5 linked regions of the Macaca mulatta genome follow. The protein of the gene in region 2 purifies or fractionates together with the protein of the main gene of each other region. This does not show direct contact. Links are inferred from orthologs where the notes say so. Each region holds a gene or a part of one and is shown on either strand. Other genes may lie near its edges. The genes, in order: ANAPC4, ANAPC13, ANAPC7, CDC27 and CDC26.

Region 1 (4,630 bases), on a different chromosome or scaffold from region 2:
TATTTTTAGTAGAGATGGGGTTTCTCTATGTTGGCCAGGCTAGTCTTGAACTCCTGACCTCAGGTGATCCACCTGCCTCGGCCTCCCAAAGTGCTGGGATTACAGATGTTAGCCACTGTGCCTGGCCCTGTACCTAATCTTTTATGTCAACGGGAGACTTACCTTTTATAAAGAAGGCTGTCCAAGGTGACAACCAAAAAAAGAAATAAAAGAACACAAACACCACTAAAAAGGTAGCTAGCTGTAATATAGTCAAATTATACGAAGCTTGGAATTAGTCCACGTGGCACCTAATTTCAGCTGTGTCACTCACTAGCCATGGATCTTAGACAAATCACTTAACCATTCTAAATCTCCATTTCCACACCAGTAAATTCCCACCTTGGAAGATCAAAATGTTGCCCAAGAGCTCTATGACTGCCCCTGTAGCAGCTTCTATACAACCACTGACAGTAAGGAAGAAAAGGCTTCACAAAATGCACATGCTCCTCCAAGACCCCTCCCCATCTCCACACTCAGCTTCACCACCATGACCCTGCCTTATCTCACAGATCACAGCACCCTTCACTCCGGGTTACATCATCTCCTGGACTTGACCCTCTCTTTTCTGAAACCATTCCTGCCATTCCTTACTTCTGAAACCCTTCCTCTGTGCTTTCTATAGCTCACGGTCAGGTGTCATCATGAAATTAATATCTTCATACTTTTCTCTGAAATGTGCCTCTCACCTGAGGACAATGCTTCCCTGCAGCCTTGCTAGGTGGTGGCCATTTTGTATCCCACAGCCCTTAGTACTGCTACTCTTGGGCAGGAGATGAAGTAGGTGTCTTCCTTGATGCCTGATGCCATTTCTTCTCTTCTTGAAAATCTCCTAACTTTGAATCACATGTAATCACACCATACGACCGCTATCCCTCTAATTGCAGTCCTCTACAGACCCCTAGGCCATTCCCCTCATTCCTCGAAAATCTGGATACCTGGCTCCCTTATGCTTTCAGCAACACACTCATCCTCATTTTTGGTGATTTCAAGAGCTATGATGCCCTAGCTCTCAATTGCCTCTCCTCCAGTGATCACATCTTCTACTGCACTCAGCCACTCTCAGGGTCATACCCCTGGCCTGGTCATTACCAGCAACTGCAGGGCCACCAAAATCTCCATTTCACACTTCCCACTTTCCATCCACCGCCCCTCTTTACAGCTCATCTCTACAATACTCAACTCCAATTCTTTGACCTCACCAGGATACAGTCTATTGATTCTACCACCTATTTACTGTCCCTCTCCCCTGCCTTCGCTTCCCTCCTTCATCAAGTTAGAACCCAAAGTTCAGAAACACAATCACTCCCCTTGCACATAACTTCAACTCTCTTTCATCTTTCTCTTGCTTTGTCATACTTGCAAAACAACAATCCTGGTTAAACCCAACGATGCCTGCACCCACACAGCCAAACAGAACGGAGAGAGACACATACAACCTCATTCAACCAGTGTCTCTCAAATAACAACACCGATCTTGTGTGGCTCGTAACACTGACAGGCAATCCTATTAGGCTTCCTAAGTCCACCTGCCTTGTTAGCTTTTTCATACCTCTTCTTTCTCAAACTTCCAATATATTCTTCTCCATCTTCACCCATAGACAATACCCTTGCTTCTTCCTTCACTGAGAAAATGGATATAATAGTGCCCTCTATCACACCTACCCATCTGATTGCACGGATGTGCCTCCTGTCTACCTTCCCTCCTACTTCTGTGGCTGTATCACCTGCTGCTCTCTAGAGCCACAACAGAGTTTCAAAGCATCCCGGCAGTGGAGGGAGACTAGATTTCATGGAGGGCCCTGAAAAATGAGACATCAATACCCCGGCGACTGGATCATGGCAGATAACATGGTGCTGTAGTCTGCAGGGTGCTACGATTTCCTTATCACCTAGTTTCCAAATTTGACTCTATACAACTCTCACCTGGCCAGATAACTCTCAAGCCAGAGGCGGAAAGATGCACAGGTGAAGGTTTCCTTACAAAATGGCTGGCAGGTAGTAACTCTCAGCAGAAAGTTGGGTACAACTGGCTTATACTCGATGAAATTTAATGTGAACAAGACATGGTGATAACATTCATGCACGTTCTCTCTGGAATCCAATGCATCCCTTCCTTGTCCAATTTAAAGGTATTTTTAGTGGTGGTTATCCAACCCGTAGTATAAAACGTGGACAAGAGAAGCCAGATTCTTAAATATATCCTCTGTGGCAGCTACATGCATGCACTTCTGCAGCTGAAGTTTGATAATAACTCTTCCTTCTGCCATTAAAACTGTAAGCAAACTTAGGGCAGGGTCCCTGGATCTACCACTATGTCTAGCTCATGAGTGGCACATCGTGCGCTTTTTTAAAAGTTCATTTAATTAATAAACCAATGACTGAAGACGACTTGGGGAAGCAGGATTGCGTGACGGTGTTAAGCTGTGTGAAAAATGTTACTTTAGCCATGAAAGTACCGAAAATAGCACAGACATCACCTTTCGCATACATACTTAAAGTTTGCTGCCGTCCTGGGAGGCAAGGGTAGCAGGTGGCCCACCATGTCTGCAGAAGGGGAAACTGAGACTACGGCCGCCTATGGCCCGAAAGAACAGGCTCGGGCTCGGTGTTCTTGGGACCCCGGGAGCAGACCCAACACACGCGGGCTCCCGCCGGCTCACTCACCTCGCCCGCTGTGTTGGCCAAAGCAATGAGATCCCGCTTGGGCGACCAGACCAGGAAAATAATCTCCTGCGGGAGCTGCTTCTCTCCCACCACCCGGAAGGACGGGAAACAGGTCGGAAAACGCAACATGGGGACGGCCCTGCAACGACACCCCAGTAAGAGGCCGGCAGAAGCTCCCGGCCCTCCACGAGGAGCCCCGACCGCGGCTGTACCTGAAAGAGTCCCCACCGGTGACTAACACAGCCCCAGCGACCTCACCCCTCCCTCTGCCGGCCGGGCGCCACAGCTTCCAGACCGCCCCGCCTCGCCGCTGTCGCGCGCTCCAGGCACTTCCGGCGTCGAGACTGCCTCGCGAGAGGAGGAGGCGGGGCGGGGCGCGCACCGGGCTTGGCGGGGCTGAGAGCCAGACCCGGCGGACGGGGACCGGGCGCTGTGGGCGAGGCAGGGAGCAGCGAGGGGCGGAGCGAGGTGGGGATAGGATGGGGCCCGTGGGCGGGGCAGGGAGCAGCGAGGGGCGGAGCGAGGGAGGGTGGGGCACGTGGGCGGGGCAGGGAAGCCCGAGTGCCGCGGAGAGGGAGGGAGCGGAGCCCCAGACCCAGGTGCGGGTGGGATCGCTGGGCGCGGGGACCCAGAAGGGCCCGAGAAGGGCGGGGCGGGCCCCTGGGGCCGCACGCGGGGCTTTTGGGAACGCGTTTGTGCACGTGTGTGGGCATGCTTGCATAGGTTTCCCGTTTTCCCGGAAATTCGCTGCTGTGGACGACGGGACGTTAGGGGTTTATGGGGAGGCTTCAGCAACAACGGGGAGATGATAAAGAATATGAACTTTAGGTCCTGATCAGCTGGAGCCTCCTCTGACAGTTACTAAGCAAGTAGTTCTCATGTCATTCCTGGTGGGTCAGTATAGAATTTTAAAAGTCCCCCTCTCCAAGCAGCACCCCAAACCAATTAGAAGAAAATTAACCCTGGATGGGCCCAGTATTTACTAAAACTCTTCGGGTGATTCCAGTTTGAAGAGAGAAGAGGCGCCTGCCTAAAACCTCCCTAACAGGAAAATAATACTGTGACACCTCATCCCATTTAACCCTCAAAACATATTGATAGTTGCAGACCCATCATAACGAAGAGAGTGTAGGCTCATACACGATTTCTTCTTGGCATTTACTATGTGGGGGAACTGAGGCTACACGAATGCATGGGACAGGAACTCTGCCCAGAGGCTCACGGGTCAGCCTGGCAGACTTGTACATCAGAATTCATCTGATGTTGCTTTATGTAGGACACATTTAAATGAGTCAACATGTTCACAGTTCCCACAGCTATGACCTCCCTAAGAGAATGTGACAGTGTCATCCTAGGGTTCTTAAACCCTCTGGTAGAAAGTCTACTTTTCACTACCTTTGACTTGTTCAAAGAAGAAAGAGACCGCAGGACCTTTAACTTTGAACAGGCCCCATCTTCTAGACCTTTGTCTGGATCTAGCCCCTGGGAAGTAGATGACGGAGGGAGACTAATTCATTCAGCATCAAGTAACTATTTTGTGCCAAGTACTGTTCTTAGCCTTTGACTTTATACCTACCCTGTTTCCTTTCAGGGGCTTTGCAACCCTTGCCTTTGCCGCAGACAACTTAGCATGTGCCCCCAACTCTTCCAGAATCAACATTTCTAAGGTAAAAATGCATCCGCCTTTGTTTTTCACAAAACGCATTTTCAGGTGTTAATGTTTTGGGGCGGTTATAATGGATCACCTGGTGGGGGTCCAGTATCTATGCACTTGATATTCTAATGGAAATTGAGTGTCCATTTTCCTGGAATTTACCTGAATACAAACACCCACACAGCACGTGAAAATGACTGTTCCCAGAGGCATAAACACCGTACTGCAAAGGACTGAGTATAACCACCTGCACATTAAGTCTTCACGGAA
Region 2 (4,572 bases):
ATTCTTAGGCACAGGAGTCACATGAACATACTGTAAAGGAAATGGCTTCCTTCCCTAAAATAGTACCCAGGCTGCGATCTGAACAAAGCACTTCTAGGTGAACACCAGTGGTAGAACCTCATACTGCTGGTTTCTCCAGTTTCTGCTTCCCTTTGGGATAGCTCCTTCCTTGGAGGTTCCTTCCTCTAATTCTTAATGCTGCACTCCCTTTAATTTCTGGCCCAAATGGCCAGGATACTTATTTAGCTCCTTGACCATGGCTGATTCCCCATTTTTCTCTGAAGCTGCAATAAAAACCCCAACAAATGACCAATTCACACCCTACCAGCAATTTTCTTAAAATGGTAAGTCATGGGCCACACTTAGTGTAGGATCTGGGACCATTTACTTGTATTTTAAATTTAAATGTATTACTACTGAACTCTGCTTTGTACCAGAGTTCACAGATACCAATATATTTCTTTTCAATTACCTTAATTTATGTTTTGCTTTATGCTTAGCAAACTGTTATGCAATATCCAGACTTAAAATTTTCCGCTGGATTCTAATTCGTAGTATGTGAACGTGTTTTCCCCTCTAAAATTATGCTCAATATATATTAAATGATATTTACTTATCTATATTTGAATCACATACATCTTGTTCTACAAGACAGATTCAAACATACTTGAACAGATTGAAAAGAGCTATCATTTATTGTAAAGCAATAATATATTATCTTAAACTTAAAAACAAAGTTCAGTCTTAATAATTACTTATAGATAACAAAGAATAAATAGGTCCTTAGTTAATGAATTATTTAATTCAGAAGTAGACAACCTTGCTTAATTTCATCCTATCTGTGGTATGCTTTCTAATCCAAAAGGCTGGCTAGCTTGGAGGATACTTTTGGATTCCCTGTTTCCAAGGTTGGGCCCTGATTCATCATAGGCGTCATCCTATGGGTGCTCCCTGTTACAAAGTCACAATCCAAAAAGCCCAGAAGCCACTGGCATCAAAGGTACTCTCAGTTATTCTGTTTCTGAGACTATGGAGACTCACACAATAAGCAATTTTGGCGGGGGCGGGGTGGAACCCACCATCTTGAGGTGCTTTTTTCAGAGCTCAGCCTGGGTGCTATTTTAAGGAAGGAAGCCTTTTCCTTTACAAGGTCAACTTCAGACATCGTCTTGCCTTGAGGATTTGTGTCAGGTCTGTAGTTGGTCCCTTCCCATAGTCCATTTTAGTGTTATCTCAGTATGTTCATGAGCTCCTGTGCCTAAGAATGCTGAGGTTTGGGCCAAGGCAGGTGGAAGTTTTTGTAAAAATGGCTCACATGGCCGGGCGCGGTGGCTCACGCCTGTAATCCCAGCACTTTGGGAGGCCGAGGTGGGCGGATCACGAGGTCAGGAGATCGAGACTATCCTGGCTAACACGGTGAAACCCCGTCTCTACTAAAAACACAAAAAATTAGCCGGGCGTGGTGGCAGGCACCTGTAGTGCCAGCTATTCGGGAGGCTGAGGCAGGAGAATGGCATGAACCCGGGAGGCGGAGCTTGCAATGAGCCGAGATCTGGCCACTGCACTCCAGCCTGGGTGACAGAGCAAGACTCCGTCTCAAAAAAAAAAAAAAAAAAAAAAAGACTTGGTCTCAAAAAAAAAAAAAAAAAAAAAAAAAGGCTCACAGATGTCCCCCATAGGATAACTGCAAGATATCCCCAACACCTTGGCAAAAATTATACACAGATTGGTGTGTAGGAAAGGGTTTAAAAGATCTGGGCAAAACTTAAGCAAAACGCGCCCTGCTACTTCTGTCACCGGTGAGCCAGGTGAGGGCTTAATTAATCCAGTACTCAATAATTAACCCCCTACTACCCAGTGGATAACTCAAAGCAAGACGAAGTTTTGGTTATACTTTTGAAGTCCCTGTCTTATAAGAGCTCCCCACTTTCCTGCTGCTACTCCTTTGTCCTTGCTGCTGTGTCTCCTGGGATACCCTTTTCACTTTCCTCAGCTGATCCAAACCTGACTTTCCCAGGCCCACATAGGTTTTCCACCTTTTAGTAAGGTTTTCTCAGATCACTCGAGCTTCAGTAGGCCTTCTATCCTTGAACTCTTGCTTCTTGTCCTAACTTAAATCTACTAAACAAGCTTTGTGATCAATTGCTCAGGTATTATTGTCTCCAACTGTTATGTGTACATTTTGTACCCAGGATTCCTTAGTAGATCTTTCTACAATTTGGCCTCAATCTTTTTCACCTGTCCCTTCTCCAAACACCTCAAACCCTGTCACATTTTCCAGCCTTGACAGTTAAAACCCCCCTTTCCACATCACTAATGCCACTCTTCCTTTCAAGATCAACGCAGGCGTCAGCTCTTGGAGGTCAACATCCCATTTCCGGGGTTAGGCGTGAAGGTGCCTTCACTCTTAAGGGGCTGGAAGGATGGAAAGCAACAAGATAATCTAATCAATGCCCAAGGCACAGCCACCGTCCCAAATACTCGTCACACAATACGACCACTGTTTCCTGAACAAACTTTTCTTACACGTGACAGTCCCGATGCCTGCAATGCTGTTTGTTTCTTCCTTTTTATTCCAGCGAACCCATAGTCAGTCTAAAAATCTCAGGTCTCAAGTCGCTTCCTGTAGGAGGCCGCCTCCAAACCTCAGGCTGAGCGCGGTCCCAGTACCCACCGGGGATCTCATAGTTCCCTAAGCACAGAGCATGGCACCAACTAGGTAGCCTGTCAAACAGCCCAGATGTATGTCTTTCCAGACACGCAGTGCCTGCGTTTCCCGGGACAGGGACATGTCTTATCCATTTCTATACATTATAGCTTTGTAAACATGTATCTGTAAGGTCAAAGCGGGAAAATATTGTTCCTTGCTAGAAATGAGCCTCGCAGGCCACCACACTGTACGAGAGGCCGCCCCTCAGCCGCGGCTTCCGGCCTGACGCAGGATGTACCAAACGTGGAAGCGGAGACGGGGAGGTCTGGGGTGCCAAGCAAGTCCCTTTCCTCCCGACACAGCGTGCAGTAAAGAAAACGGTTATGAGCGTAAAGTGACAGCCTCGGCCGATGGAAATAGGGGGAAGTCCGACACTGAGCCACGAACGCATTCCCGCGCCTCCAAAACCTAGGCCGGGGGCGCTGCAAACCCTTACCGTTACGCGGCCCAGCGCGGCAGACGCTTCCTCCTGCCACGCCCCGCATCACGTGTCTGCACGCTCTTTCTCGGATTCCCGGATGTGGGTGAGTCCATTTGCTCGCGTGCAGGGGAAGTCTGGAGAAGACATTGATTCAATTATTAAAAGTGTGGGGGCAGTGGGCGGAACGAACGCTCCGACTGCTGAGGCTGGACGTAAGCTTAGTGGTGGCGCGCGTGCGCAGTGCACGCCCGAGGTAACGGCGGGAAGGCTGAGGGATGCGCTTGCTGCAGCCGTGTAACCGCCCGTGCGCAAGACGGAAGCGCAAGGGGCGAGCGCGTCCTGGTCCGGAGGCGGCCCAGGCTGCCTTGGTGACTCTGGCTTCGCGGCCTCATGGCTTGCGGCCGGTTCGCGCAACAGTCTGCGAACCACCAGGCGCCTCCCCGCCGGCTCGCGTCCGCCCCGGAGCCCCGTCCCTCGGCCTGGCCCGCTATGCCCTGCACACCGGCGTAGTCCGGCATGGCGCAGCCCGGCGCGCGGTTCGGCCCCGCCAGGTGGTCACAGCGTTTCCTCGGAGGCCGGGTGGCTGGGGGCGCTTCGGAGAGTAGCCAGGTGGGCGGGCGAGCTGCGCCCAGTACTCACCTTTCCCGGCGGACCCACCTTTCTTTTCAGCGGAGGGACCCCTGTGCGGCCTCCCGGCCAGGGCTGCTGTTTAGCTAGCGCTGTTAGGACTACTTCATTCACGGCACAAGGGGACCCGCTCATTTAGGGTGGCATGTTAAGGTTGGCAGCTTTTAAAATAGTGAGTTGGTGTAAACGGTTATGTTTAGTACAGCAGGTACGGAAATATGGCAGAAATCGTGGACTGAAATTGGAGAACCCTGAACTAACTGCTCCATGCACACAGATCAGGGATAGAAAGAAACAAGGACGGTTTCTTAGGAACACTTTAATCATGGAGATACTTGAAGACAGTACATTTAGGCTTATAATGTGGTTTTTTTTATGTCGTATACGACATCAGGAGAGTAAAGATGTGTATGATGTCAGAGACTAGTCATCTTGTATAGTTTAAGCACCGTACACTAATATGCACAAAGTAGTTTTCCCTGAGCTTTATGTCCGGTTAAACTTATTAAAAGAATTTATTCTTTTATAAAGCAGTATTGTAGGGTAGATGCTCTGTATTTATACAGTTCCTCACGTGCTTGCGTTTATTTTTTAGGTAAGAGAAAATCATAAGGATCGTTGATTAGATTTCTGTTAGCTGTAGCTTAATAGTAAAACAAAGTATATATATTTTCTTATTTGGAATGCAGTACTATTTTTAGATTAATTTTTGAGATTGCCTTTTGACTGTGGCATGATCAGTGATCAGGGTAGTAAAAAAGGCTCTGAAACTAAAATGGGGTAGAGATTTATAAACAGGCACACTGCCTTTTAA
Region 3 (3,371 bases), on a different chromosome or scaffold from region 2:
GCCAGTTCCAGTCTGTTTGGTGCACCTGATAAAGTATTCTTGATCTAGTTTAGGGAAGCCCTCAGCAAGTGCCTTTTGAGACAGCTGTTATGTTTCAAATAAAAGAGTCTTTCTCCCTAGGTTGCTTGACAATAAGTCCTTTATTTGTCAAACTGGAAATTCACTTAAAGACTCTAGGAGCCAGGCCAGGCACGGTGGCTCATACCTGTAATCCCAGCACTTTGGGAGGCCAAGCTAGGCGGATCACCTGAGGTCAGGAGTTCGCGACCAGCCTGACCAACATGGAGAAACCCCGTCTCTACTAAAAATACAAAACTAGCCGGGCATGGTGGCGCATGCCTGTAATCCCAGCTACCCGGGAGGCTGAGGGAGGAGAATCACTTGAACCCGGGAGGCGGAGGTTGCAGTGAGTGGAGATGGTGCCATTGCACTCCAGCCTGGGCAACAAAAGCGAAACTCCATCTCAAAAAAAAAGACCCTAGGAGCCTTCCATCTTAAACCTAGCCCTGCAGGTGACCGAATGCAGCTGGAGAATAACAGCTTGTTAAGAGGCAGCAAAACCTTGGGTTTTTTTGGGAACATCATCTCTCACTACTTTGATCTCTTGGCCATATGACAAAGTAATCATTAGTGTCACATTTATTCTTCCAGCGGTCAGATGGGGTGCTCACATGCTGTGAGTTCCTTACATGTGCTTGTTTCCTTCCCTAAACTGAAGGTGCCTTTGAAGGCAGTCTTTTTCCACATCCATCAAGTGCTCTGGGGAAGAGCACTTCTTAGCTATTCCATCAACACACTTGCCTGTCTAATCCCACCATCAGTTTCCCCTGGCCTGCCGTTCGTCTGAAACTTTGAAGGTTAGCAATTTGGAGAGCTGTCAGAGTGGAAGCATGGGTTGAAGTGGTAATGGCATTGAATGTCTTAATGTGTTTTACTTTTTTCAGGTCTTATCGAGTGTTACTTAGCCTCCAACAGTATTCGAGAAGCAATGGTAATGGCTAACAACGTTTACAAAACTCTGGGAGCAAATGCACAGACCCTTACCCTTTTAGCCACCGTTTGTCTTGAAGACCCAGTGACACAGGAGAAAGCCAAAACGTTATTAGATAAAGCCCTGACCCAAAGGCCAGATTACATTAAGGCTGTGGTGAAAAAAGCAGAACTGCTTAGTAAGTGTGTGTTATTTTCTGCCCTATTCATCATTAATTTTTATGAAACCTGACCTCATTGGACACCCTTGTCCCAGCTAGTTACAGATGACCAGACAGGTGTGTGTGTTTTGCAGCAGGTCTGAGCCTGCTTGGATTGGTTTATATTTAGCCCAACCAAATGTAGCTGGCTTAGACCTGCTTGGCTTGGCTGTAGCCACCTATAATTGGTTGGTATCTGTTTGGCTCACTTTTTTTTTATTTTTTATTATTATTTTTTTTTTTTTTTGAGACGGAGTCTCACGCTGTTGCCCAGGCTGGAGTGCAGTGGTGCGATCTCGGCTCACTGCAAGCTCCGCCTCCTGGGTTCACGCCATTCTCCTGCCTCAGCCTCCTGAGTAGCTAGGACTACAGGCGCCCGCCACCGCGCCCGGCTAATTTTTTGTATTTTTAGTAGAGACGGGGTTTCACTGTGGTCTCGATCTCCTGACCTTGTGATCCGCCCGCCTCGGCCTCCCAAAGTGCTGGGATTACAGGCTTGAGCCACCGCGCCCGGCCTTTTTTTTTTTTTTTTTTTTTTTTCTTTTTTTTTTTTTTTGAGACGACCTCTCGCTCTATCACCCAGGCTGGAGTGCAGTGGTGCAATCTCAGCCCACAGCAACTTCCGCCTCCCAGGTTCAAGCGATTTTTCTGCCTCAGCCTCCTGAGTAGCTGGGTCTACAGCCATGCACTACCACACCCAGCTAATTTTTTTTCTTTTTTTTTTAGTAGAGACAGGGTTTCACCATATTGGCCAGGCTGGTTTCGAACTCCTGACCTCGTGATCCACCCATCTCGGCCTCCCAAAGTGGTGGGATTACAGGCGTGAGCCGCTGCGTCCAGCCTTGGCTCACTGTTATCTGGTTTGAGTTGTCCTGAATTAGTTTGAGCTGAATCTAACTAACTGGTTTTAGCCAGTTTGAACTGTTTGGTGCTATCTGAATTATTTTATGACTTCTCATTTGGCCCTGTTTTTTTTTTTTTTTCAGTCCTGATTTATGATGAACTCATAGTTTGGTTCATTGAATTTGGGCTAGTTGGCAAATGCAATTTGGCTTTTTAAAGTTAAGAGCCCATTAAGGCCGGGCGCAGTGGCTCAAGCCTGTAATCCCAGCACTTTGGGAGGCCGAGGCGGGCAGATCATGAGGTCAGGAGATCGAGACCATCCTGGCTAACACGGTGAAACCCCGTCTCTACTAAAAATACAAAAAACTAGCCGGGCGCGGTGGCGGGCGCCTGTAGTCCCAGCTACTCGGAGGCTGAGGCAGGAGAATGGCGTAAACCCGGGAGGCGGAGCTTTCAGTGAGCTGAGATCCGGCCACTGCGCTCCAGCCTGGGTGACAGAGCAAGACTCCGTCTCAAAAAAAATAAAATAAAATAAAAAAAATAAAGTTAAGAGCCCATTTAAAACATTGTAATTCAAACTGCAGATTTCTTAACTGAATAGGACATCAGGTGTGCTTGCCCTCGCTTTGTGTTGCACCAGTGTTATCTTGAGGATGTCTGCAAAGAGATTGTCAGAATGGTAGTTGTGTTTTTTTTGTACGTGACTTAAGATGGGAATATATTTTCAAAATGTTCAAGTAGGACAGTGAGGGTCTTTTTTATTCCACCAGGCAGAGAACAGAAATATGAAGATGGAATTGCTTTGCTGAGGAACGCACTGGCTAATCAGAGTGACTGTGTCCTGCATCGGATCCTAGGAGATTTCCTTGTAGCTGTCAATGAGTATCAGGAGGCAATGGACCAGTATAGTATAGCACTAAGGTAGGCACTAGCCTCCCTTGGGGGAAGGCCACTGAGGAGGGTAGAGGAGGCAGTGAGCTGCGTCACAGGAGTTATGGAGTTATGGAAACACACACACACTTTGTGTCCATGGTTGAAAGCAGAATAATAATAGTAATGGTAGAGGAGTTATTTGTGGATTCATGACTTCTAAAAATTTTTCTTAAAATATATTAACAACATTAGAGAACTGTTTCACTCATAACCATCCCACACCACTATAACATCTGTGTTCATTTGTATAGCTCATCTTCTGTCCTTGCCCACACATATTTTTATAGGGTTGTACCTAGTATATATTTTATATTCTTTTTCAAATCAAAGTATTGTAAGTACTTTCCCATGTTTCTATCTACTGTAGTCATTAAGAACTTGAGGTCTGAAGTTTTGAATACTACC
Region 4 (4,409 bases), on a different chromosome or scaffold from region 2:
GGATAATGTGCAGGTTTGTTACATATGTATACCTGTGCCATGTTGGCGTGCTGCACCCATCAACTCGTCATTTACATCAGGTATAACTCCCAATGCAATCCCTCCCCACTCCCCCCTCCCCGTGAATCCATGTTAAATGCTGTCCCTGAACATTTTATCCCCAGCCAAAAGTACTTCTTCACCATCTAATGATCTCTAAAATAATATCATGTATATGGTACCCAATTGCTATATTGCTTATTAAATCAATTTTTGAAAGGCTTATTTACAACTTCATCCAACACTCCTGTGAAGTCTTGCTTCACCCGGGAATAATTGCTAAATCTATATAAAATCTCTTTGCTTCTTTTTAAAAAACCAATTTCATCAGATGACTTTTCCAAAAAGCTCTCACTGAAGTCACTTAGCCTAGTGTGTCTTTCCAAATAGTTACTATTAAAAATAAAGGAACTGACAGAACTTCTGCCTCATATTTGAGACTTTTATAAGGACTCAAATATAAAGTAATACTCTTCTGAGAAGTGGTAATTTGAGATGGAGTTTTAATTTAGGCATATATGGTATATCAGCCTGGCCATTCTACGTTAAAACTTTAAAGAAAAAAAAATGCAGAAAACAGTTGTTCATCTTTTCTGTGAACTTCTTCCTATGCCTAGTAATACCATCAACTCTGAGGCATTCCAAGAAAGAACAATTTTCCAACTTACTCTCACTGCTTTCCAAATACATGCAATCAGTCATCATAGTTTTTTGTTTTTGTTTTTTTTTAAATAAAGACAGTATCTTATGTGTCTGTCCTATTTTTATTCTCTTCCTAATTCTTTCCCATTTGCAGCACTATCCCTGATCATTGATCTTTATCATTGTAGTTAAAGTTGCTTGTTCTTCTCACTGCTCCAAATCCCTTCTTGAATGGCTTCTTCTTATACTATACAACCAAAATTTTTACCTAGTTATATCCTAAAACTTTCTACCACTATCTCAAAAATCTAATGGACAATGCTAGTATGAAAAAGAAGCAAATTTGACATTTAAGCCTTAAAAATATTGAAGTGTGTTACTGCTAAGAGTACTTTAAGGGCAAATAGGAAACCTAATGGGTACTATCTAGAAATAGGATACATATTCCTTTTCTTTTCCATGCTTTTATTATTTATTTATTTATTTATTTATTTATTTTGAGACGGAGTCTCACTCTGTCACCCAGGCTGGAGAGAAGCGGGACCATGTCAGCTCACTGCAACCTCCATCTCCTGGGTTCAGGCAATTCTCCTGCCTCAGCCTGCCGAGTAGCTGGGATTACAGGCGCCCACCACCACGCCCGGCTCATTTTTTAATATTTTTAGTAGAGACGGGGTTTCCCCGTGTTGGCCAGGCAGGTCTTGAACTCCTGACCTCAGGTGATCCACCCACCTCGGCCTCCCAAAACGTTGGGATTACAGGTGTAAACCACCGCGCCCGGCCTTCCATGCTTTTATAAAGTCTGAAATTATTATTAAATGGTGGTTATCGTCTATCAGTGCAACTAGTTTATCACTTTAGAAGACTTCTGGGGCCAGAGAAGGCAAAAAAAAAAAAAAAAAAATCATTATTAAAACAAAATTACAAGAATATGCAACAGAAATTAAATAACTTGAGTAATCTGCTTATCTATTTAAGTTCATGTTAGGCCTTAAAAAATTATATAATTACCTCATCTACAGCCAGAATAAAAAAAAAACCTTAAAAGAAACTATGCTGGTAAAAAGAAATAGCTCTAGAAAAACCGATACAACTTACAGACAGGAAAATTTCATAAGATACAATCTTAACGTTTTATTAATTCAAACACTAATAGCTGCTATATGTAAACAGCTGGAGAAGAAGCCAAACTAGAAGAAATGAGTATTTCATGCTGTTTAGAAAAATGAAATAAATATGAAAGCAGTGACATAATAAAATATTTACTATTTGATACCTCAAGCCTTTTAAGGGCAATATGAAGGAATTTCTAAAAATCGGTTTGCTTTATAACTTCAAAATAAAGTCCAAGACTCAATGACAGTGGTTGATAGAAGTCAATTCTGATCAAGTCAAAGATCACATGGTGGGAGGAAGTCTCCCAGACCTGGTCCATTACCAAGGCACAAAAGATTCAGTTTCTCCAGATGTCAGAGGGGAAAATGACTTGGCACTGCATCACAGACTTAAAATCCAATAGGGTTCCTTTAATGCAACACAGCACTGTGCGTCAAAGCATACCTTGGTGTAAGGGCAGTGAAACAGACACAAACACCACTATTTGTCTTTCATTTCCTGAATGCCTTATAAACATGCACAACAAAATGCTCCTGATCCCCATCAGAGAGGATGAAAACAACCCAGATATGCCCTTTCCACCTCCTCCCCTGGTATTGGTGCTTGCACCTCAGCACTGAGGCTTGGAGTTGTCTTCTCAAACCATCATTGTCCGGTGGGAAATTCACCGAGAAAGGAAACGTGGGAGAGGAAGTCTGTTACCAAAATAGAAATTAGTATTAAAGATACCGATCCTACTCTCCCTCCACTCTCTCACATAAGACAAAAATAAAAAAACCTCCGCAAACTTGCCCTACCATCGCGAAGATCATACAAGCTCCGATCAAATGTGCTTCTCGATCATCTTTTAGGCAAGAGAGCGCCTGGGGTGCGTTTTCGGCCCCTCATCTCCCAACCCCAGTCAAGCCAGGCCCCTGGGCTGACAGGAAGGGCTGGCCGGACGTTGGCTCGGACGGGAAAGACGGTTATTCTCGCCGAAGCCGCTCACACTAAGGGTGAAGTAACGTAGGGCCAGAGGTAACACGGCTTAGGCTGCGGGCAAGGCCTCCGAACTGACGGAAGATAGGCAGGACTCGGCAGCAAGGGAGGCGGTAGAAGCAGCCGGGCCTAGGCCGCACCAGGCCGCGGAGTGGCCCTACGCTGCTTCCCGACTGAGGCTGCAAGCCAAGCCTCAGAGAAGAGGGTTATCATTACCTGAACGGGTTCCTGCAGCACCGTCATCCTCGAGGCTTAGGCCCACTTTCTGCAGTGCCTCAGGCCCCCCCGGTAGCGGCTCCGGCCCGGCCAGCCCCGGCTCATTTAAACTCACCAGCGACCGTTACCGGGGGATGGGGGAGGCCGAGCGATTGCCGAGTGCTTCCGAGCGGGACACGGAAATTCCCGAAGTGGAGAAAGCCGAGCGGGAGCCAGACGGAAAAGCCCGAAAGGGGTCGGAAATACCCGAGGTGGGTCGACGAGAGAGAAAAATCGTTGCCGGAAATTGTCGAAGATTCCCGGAAACTACCGAGTCTAACCCAAAGCGTAGGTTTTCTTCTCAGCCACGCCTTCAGTCACGCACACCACGCCCAATCGGCCGTCCCAGGGCTGGGCCACGCCCAATCGGCAACCAGCAGGCTGGGCGTGGCGTGACTGAGCGGCCCGGGAGCGTTACGTGGCGGGGCTGCAGGGTGGATTCGCCACTCAGCCCTTCTGGGTTAATTGATGTGCTGTAGATTATAAAGCAAAGGGTGAAACAGCAGAGTTTGGGGCAGACTTTAATGAATCAACAAGTATTTGTCTATTGAGTTTAGATCATTCGTCCATTCCAGAAGTATCTACTCACGGCTCTGGGGAAAGCTAAAGAAATTTGGAAAGATTGCCACTCCAAAGATATTAGGATAGCTTCTGTCCTCAAGGAGGTTAAGGTCTATTTAAGGGAAAAGCAGTGTAACAGAGAACGCTATATTATGTGGTGCCTATTATAAGTAATATAAAAATTCAGAGAGGGAAATTGTGTTAAGATGAGGAAAGTTTTATGGAAGGAAAAAAAAGTTTAAACTGGAGTTTGAAGGATGGGTAGAATCAGAGGAAAAATAAGTATAGGAAAGTGAAGGAAGGAAAAATGAGATCAGCCTGCTAAGAAGGCATTAATTGGAAATAGTTACTTAGGTGAAGAGATCATGGAAAAACTCAATAGGCCGTTAGAAATTTTTATTTTTGACAGGCGAGGCATTCCACTGTGGTGGGAAGAGTAGGGGGTAGGAAATTCAGAGGCCTGATTTTGAATTGTATCTTTAGCACTAACTAGTCATAGGTCTTTGGCAAATTACAACCTCTCTGAACTTGTGTTTGCTTAGTTTGAAAAAAAAGGATTAAGGGAATTTGATGTATTACAAGTGTGGCTGTGTCTAGCACGCAATGTAGACTCTCTTGTATTTCCTTTCTGCTCTTCCTCTCCTCCGAAGGAGAGTGAACTAGGGAACTGTTTAAATTTTGTTTTTCAGCAGAAGAGAAAAACGGTTTTTGAAGGTTACTCTTCTAGTCAGGAGTTCTCTAGGCTAGATGTGAGACTCATGATATATTCCATTGCTTGGAAATTTCCCTTTGGGTGATGTTGGAGGGAGATATTTTTT
Region 5 (4,621 bases), on a different chromosome or scaffold from region 2:
GTGAGACTCCATCTCAAAAAAAAAAAGATGTAACCCCTGCCCTCCAGGATGTCACAGTCTAATAGGTAAACAGCCAAAGAGACGATTATAGGGTGATCCGGGCTATGACCTATGACAGAGGGAAGTCAACACTGCCAAAGAGACGAGGTAAGGAGTTGGGGTGTGGTGGTACAACAGGAAGCTACAACTGGAAAGATGTAAGAGCAGACAAGGGGGAGCAAAGGGTATTTCAACAAATTTATTATTCTAGAGAATAGACAGAAAAATAAATTGACTGGTAAAGAAATAACCACCAAAAATCTATAGCCTAACTGATCCCATGAGATTAAAAGTAACATGAGAAGGTTTTATGCTATCTTATCAAAAGGTCTGGGTTTTGTGGCTTCATTTTGTTTTCAGATAAAAGGTTTGGTTCTTAAGTCACATGTGACTGCAGAATCCACAAAGTATGTCTCAGTTTGATCATTTTCAAAAAGAAACACTTATCCCGTAACTGCCACTACCTGACTGTAAGGACAACAGATGATAACTTTCTCTAAGAGAGTGAAATGATGTTTTATCCAAAATTCCTTAATAATAATAGAATGGCTCAGCTACTCAAATCACTGGAATTACCACCATTCTTCACCACTTGCTGCTGGACTGTGGGCATTTAAATGCCAAGCATCGGGCTGACCGCAGTGGCTCATGCCTGTAAATCCCACTGCTTTGGGAGGACTGCTTGAGCCCAGGAGTTTGACACTAGCCTGGGCAACATAGTGAGACTCCATCTGTCCCCACAAATTTTTTTTTTTTCTTCAGACCAAGTCTCGGTCTGTCACCAGGCTGGAGTGCAGTGGCGCCATCTCGGCTCACTGCAACCTCCACCTCCCAGGTTCAAGCGATTCTCCTGCCCTCGGCTTCCCAAGTAGTTGGGACTACAGGTGCATGCCACCACACCCAGCTAATGTTTGTATTTTTAGTAGAGATGGGGTTTCAACATGTTAGCTAGGATGGTCTCTTGACCTCGTGATCCGCCTGCCTCGGCCTCCCAAAGTGCTGGGATTACAGGCGTGAGCCACCACACCCGGCCCACAAAAAATTTAAAAATTAGCCAGGCATAGTGGCACATGCCTGTATTCCCAGTTATTCAGGGGGCCGGACGTGGTAGGATCACTGGAGCCTGGCAGGTAGAGGCTGCAGTGAGTGGTGATCATGCCACTGTACACCAGCAGGGCGACAGAGCAAGACCCTGTCTCAAAAATAAAAATAAAAAATAAAATAAATGCCAACACTCACAAAGTATTACAGTGAATAAAATAAGGTATTGCCTTTTATGTGGCAAATGACCTTCCTGATTACTAGTAAGTGATGTTAGAAAGTTCTACCTAAATATCTTTGTGAAAACAAGTTCTAAAAGGCAAACAACTCTATCATTCTGAGAATATCCAAGTGGAATGAAATCACTTAAAAGGGTTCCCACTTTGAGCAACTGCTGTTTCAGAAGCTAGAGTCACAGTAGATAATCAAACTCATGTTGGTAATAAATGAAACAGGCCAGTTTTCTACTGGTTTCACTTTAGGGCATGACTGTCCCTGCTTCCTAAGTTACTCTAAAACAGGGCAAAACCCACTAGATAACTGCCTTTGGTGAAAAGACTAACTCAATAGTGAGCTGACTCTGTAGAGTCAAAGTTCGGCATGCTAGCATTTTATGAGATTTGTAACAACTGAAGTTTAAGCCATACTTTAAAGCTCATCCTTAATAATATATGAGTTTTTTAAAAGCAGAAATTATGATGCTTCGAGAACACTAAAGTGTCTTGGGATGAAGCAGGGGGAAGAAATCTAAGTTATTAGTCTTAATATGAAGCATATACAATCCATAATAAAGCTGTTGGTAAATACATGCAAAATGTACTGTCCTCTGCCATATAGTACAAGATATCTGCTAGGACAGCAAATGAAAATAGACTTGTATTGAGCCCTCCTTTGGGCCTGGTATTGCAGGGAACAGATGCAGACAGAAATATACTAATCCCTGACTTCAAGGAGCTTATGGCCCAGTGAGGGAAAACAAAAGCAAACAGACAATTACAACAGAGACTAACAGTGCTTATGAGAGAGGTTAGCACAGGAGGATGAGGTTGAGCCTAACCCAGCTGGGGGCTGGAAGAAGTAAGAGTTAGCCTGGCAAAGAAAAATAAAGGACTTTTCTGGCAAAGGGAACACTTGTGTATAGGCATTGAGATTAAAGATAACCCAGCAGTGAAAGTGGAGAGATAAGCAAGGACCAGCTCACAAAGGACCTCATATGCCATGCTAGGGAATTTGGAATTTATTCTGTAGACCACTGAATAATTTAAGTCTTATTAATGGACATCTAATACCATGTAGCAAGGCCACACTTAAAAATACATATGGGGCTCCTACCATGAGCTAGATGGTAGGAAATGGTGATGCAAACAGACATGATTTCTGCAATCAATCACTGGCTGGGTGCAGTGGGTCACATGTGTAATCCCAGCACTTTGGGAGGCTGAGGCGGATGGATCACTTGAGGTCAGGAGTTGGAGACCAGCCTGGCCCCAACATGGCAAAATCCCGTCTCTACTAAAAACACAAAAATGACCCGGGCATGCTGGCATGTACCTATAGTCCCAGCTACTTGGGAGGCTGAGGCAGAGGTTGCAGTGAGCCAAGGATCATGCCACTATACTCCAGCCTGTGTGACACAGCGAGACTCCATCTCAAAAAAACACAAAGTTGTATTCATACCTCCAGGTCCTTTCGAATGCTCTCAAACTCTTCAATGTCATCAAGCTTTAGCTCTAGGCGTGTTGGTTTTCGTCTCAGCATACTGAAGTCAACACTAAGGGCCAAACCCAGTGAACTATTAGCTGATAAAAATGAAAGAGAGGAGGAAAAACTGAAGGTAATAAAGTCTCAGATACAAAACATAAAATCAGTTTGCAAGCCTGTGTACTAAAGTGAATGGAAGTATTAAAACTTTATTTGAATTCACACAGACTTCTAAAGTCTTTTTAAGAGATGGGATCTTGCTCTTTGCCCAGGCTGGAGCACAGTAGCATGACCTTAGCTCACTACAGCCTCAACTTCCTGGGCTCAAGCAATCTTACTGCCTCAGCCTCTAGAGTAGCTGGGACTACAGGTGTACACCACCATATCTGGCTAATTTTTGTGTTTTTTGTAGAAATGGGATCTCTCTCTGATGCCCAGGCTGGTCTCAAACTCTTGGGCTCAAGTGTTCCTCCCTCCTCATTTTCCCAAAGTACTGGCATTATAGGCAAGAGCTACTATACCCAGCCAACTTCTAAAGTCTTTAGGTATATGATTATTACATTTTTATTACATTATGGAGATCTACAGCTCTGTAAAATCAAAAACTCTTTCAGTAAGAATTTAAAATAGCAAACTATCACTTTAATCTCATGTTCTAGTCACATTCAAAGAAATACTCTAGCTAAAAGAATAAACTATCACATCTCAGTATAGTTAGAGGGGAAAGTGGACAAACCAGTGAATTTAATCTACTCTACGTGAGAACTGTCAGAGATTTGTGATCACTCCTGAATGCTAAAATCAGTTTGCTAAATCTCATGAAGACTCCAACTCACCAATTCACAGGATTATCCTCAGCGTCCAAACAGATCCTAAATGTGTGTACGTCATTCATTAAACAAACACTTCTTGTGCTCCAGCTACAGAATTAAAAGGTACAGTCATAATCTGTGGGGAAAATAAAGAAAACTGTGATATCATATAACGAGAACCCTAATGAGGATACTGGCACTGGCATCACACAGGCACCTAATCCAGTCTGGGCTGAGTGTGGGGTGGACAAGGATGTCAGGCAAGCCTTCCTGGAGAAAATGATATCTTAGTTGACTTCTGAAGGGCAGGCAGAGAGAAGAGTGCACAAGGAGGCTCAAGACCAGCTTTGGCAACATAGCAAGACCCTGTCTCTACAAAAAAGTAAAAAAATTAGCTAGGCTGGTAGTGTGTACCTGTAGTCCTAGCTACTCAGGAGGCTGAGATGGAAGGATCACTTGAGCCCAGGAGTTTGAGGTGGCCACAGTGAGCCATGATCTCACCATAAGACCCCAACTCAGAAAAAAAAAAAAAAAAGAAGAAGAAGAAAAGAGGTTCAAAAGAGCATTCCACAGCCTGAAATCCCGAGGTAATACTGTGTTAACAAAAACCATTTTGTTTTGTTTTGTTTTGTTTTTGAGAAAACACAACTCCCCCAATTGAGTTTAATATCTGTTGATGGCATCATTTGTATATTCTCCACAGCATCCCCTAGAGTGTATCTATAAAAACAGTCAGTAAATGTTTGTTGAATAAAAGGTGAGATCATTCTTGAGCACTGTGCTCTTTTTCCATTCCCATTCTTTACATTCTTAACACAAAAACCTGTGAAGTTGACAAAATGATTCCTATTTCACACATAAAGAAGTCATCGAAGCAAGCTGTTCAGTTTGGTTAATAATTTTAGCCTCCTATAAAAATTATACAGGTCAACATGATAAGGATTAAGTGAGAATGATGGAAGTGAAAACTCCTTGAAAGTATATAGAGATACAAATTATTACATGTATCTAGGATGAAACTAGGGACT

What was found.
Region 1: the proteins of ANAPC13 (region 2) and ANAPC4 purify together in Homo sapiens (affinity purification with mass spectrometry; 9 studies listed by BioGRID and IntAct, counting the BioPlex papers as one, with this or other methods). This does not show direct contact. The link is inferred for Macaca mulatta from reciprocal best matches to the Homo sapiens genes ANAPC13 and ANAPC4.
Region 3: the proteins of ANAPC13 (region 2) and ANAPC7 purify together in Homo sapiens (affinity purification with mass spectrometry; 3 studies listed by BioGRID and IntAct, counting the BioPlex papers as one, with this or other methods). This does not show direct contact. The link is inferred for Macaca mulatta from reciprocal best matches to the Homo sapiens genes ANAPC13 and ANAPC7.
Region 4: the proteins of ANAPC13 (region 2) and CDC27 purify together in Homo sapiens (affinity purification with mass spectrometry; 5 studies listed by BioGRID and IntAct, counting the BioPlex papers as one, with this or other methods). This does not show direct contact. The link is inferred for Macaca mulatta from reciprocal best matches to the Homo sapiens genes ANAPC13 and CDC27.
Region 5: the proteins of ANAPC13 (region 2) and CDC26 purify together in Homo sapiens (affinity purification with mass spectrometry; 4 studies listed by BioGRID and IntAct, counting the BioPlex papers as one, with this or other methods). This does not show direct contact. The link is inferred for Macaca mulatta from reciprocal best matches to the Homo sapiens genes ANAPC13 and CDC26.

Annotation. Positions count from the first base shown.
Region 1 is NC_133410.1:24,394,031-24,398,660, reverse strand, and holds the start of ANAPC4 (anaphase-promoting complex subunit 4), read right to left. Parts: upstream 2,994-4,630; 5' UTR 2,919-2,993; intron 2,846-2,918; 5' UTR 2,836-2,845; coding exon 2,707-2,835; intron 1-2,706. UniProt on the Homo sapiens protein: Component of the anaphase promoting complex/cyclosome (APC/C), a cell cycle-regulated E3 ubiquitin ligase that controls progression through mitosis and the G1 phase of the cell cycle.
Region 2 is NC_133407.1:37,526,349-37,530,920, forward strand, and holds the start of ANAPC13 (anaphase-promoting complex subunit 13), read right to left. Parts: upstream 3,182-4,572; 5' UTR 3,147-3,181; exon of another isoform or gene 3,101-3,146; intron 2,701-3,100; exon of another isoform or gene 2,527-2,700; intron 1-2,526. Other genes in the region: CEP63 (centrosomal protein of 63 kDa), read left to right, coding at 3,407-3,682. UniProt on the Homo sapiens protein: Component of the anaphase promoting complex/cyclosome (APC/C), a cell cycle-regulated E3 ubiquitin ligase that controls progression through mitosis and the G1 phase of the cell cycle.
Region 3 is NC_133416.1:117,543,922-117,547,292, reverse strand, and holds part of ANAPC7 (anaphase-promoting complex subunit 7), read left to right. Parts: intron 1-944; coding exon 945-1,169; intron 1,170-2,803; coding exon 2,804-2,954; intron 2,955-3,371. UniProt on the Homo sapiens protein: Component of the anaphase promoting complex/cyclosome (APC/C), a cell cycle-regulated E3 ubiquitin ligase that controls progression through mitosis and the G1 phase of the cell cycle.
Region 4 is NC_133421.1:71,468,192-71,472,600, forward strand, and holds the start of CDC27 (cell division cycle protein 27 homolog), read right to left. Parts: upstream 3,142-4,409; 5' UTR 3,019-3,141; coding exon 2,992-3,018; intron 1-2,991. UniProt on the Homo sapiens protein: Component of the anaphase promoting complex/cyclosome (APC/C), a cell cycle-regulated E3 ubiquitin ligase that controls progression through mitosis and the G1 phase of the cell cycle.
Region 5 is NC_133420.1:45,040,786-45,045,406, reverse strand, and holds the start of CDC26 (anaphase-promoting complex subunit CDC26), read right to left. Parts: upstream 2,839-4,621; coding exon 2,758-2,838; intron 1-2,757. UniProt on the Homo sapiens protein: Component of the anaphase promoting complex/cyclosome (APC/C), a cell cycle-regulated E3 ubiquitin ligase that controls progression through mitosis and the G1 phase of the cell cycle.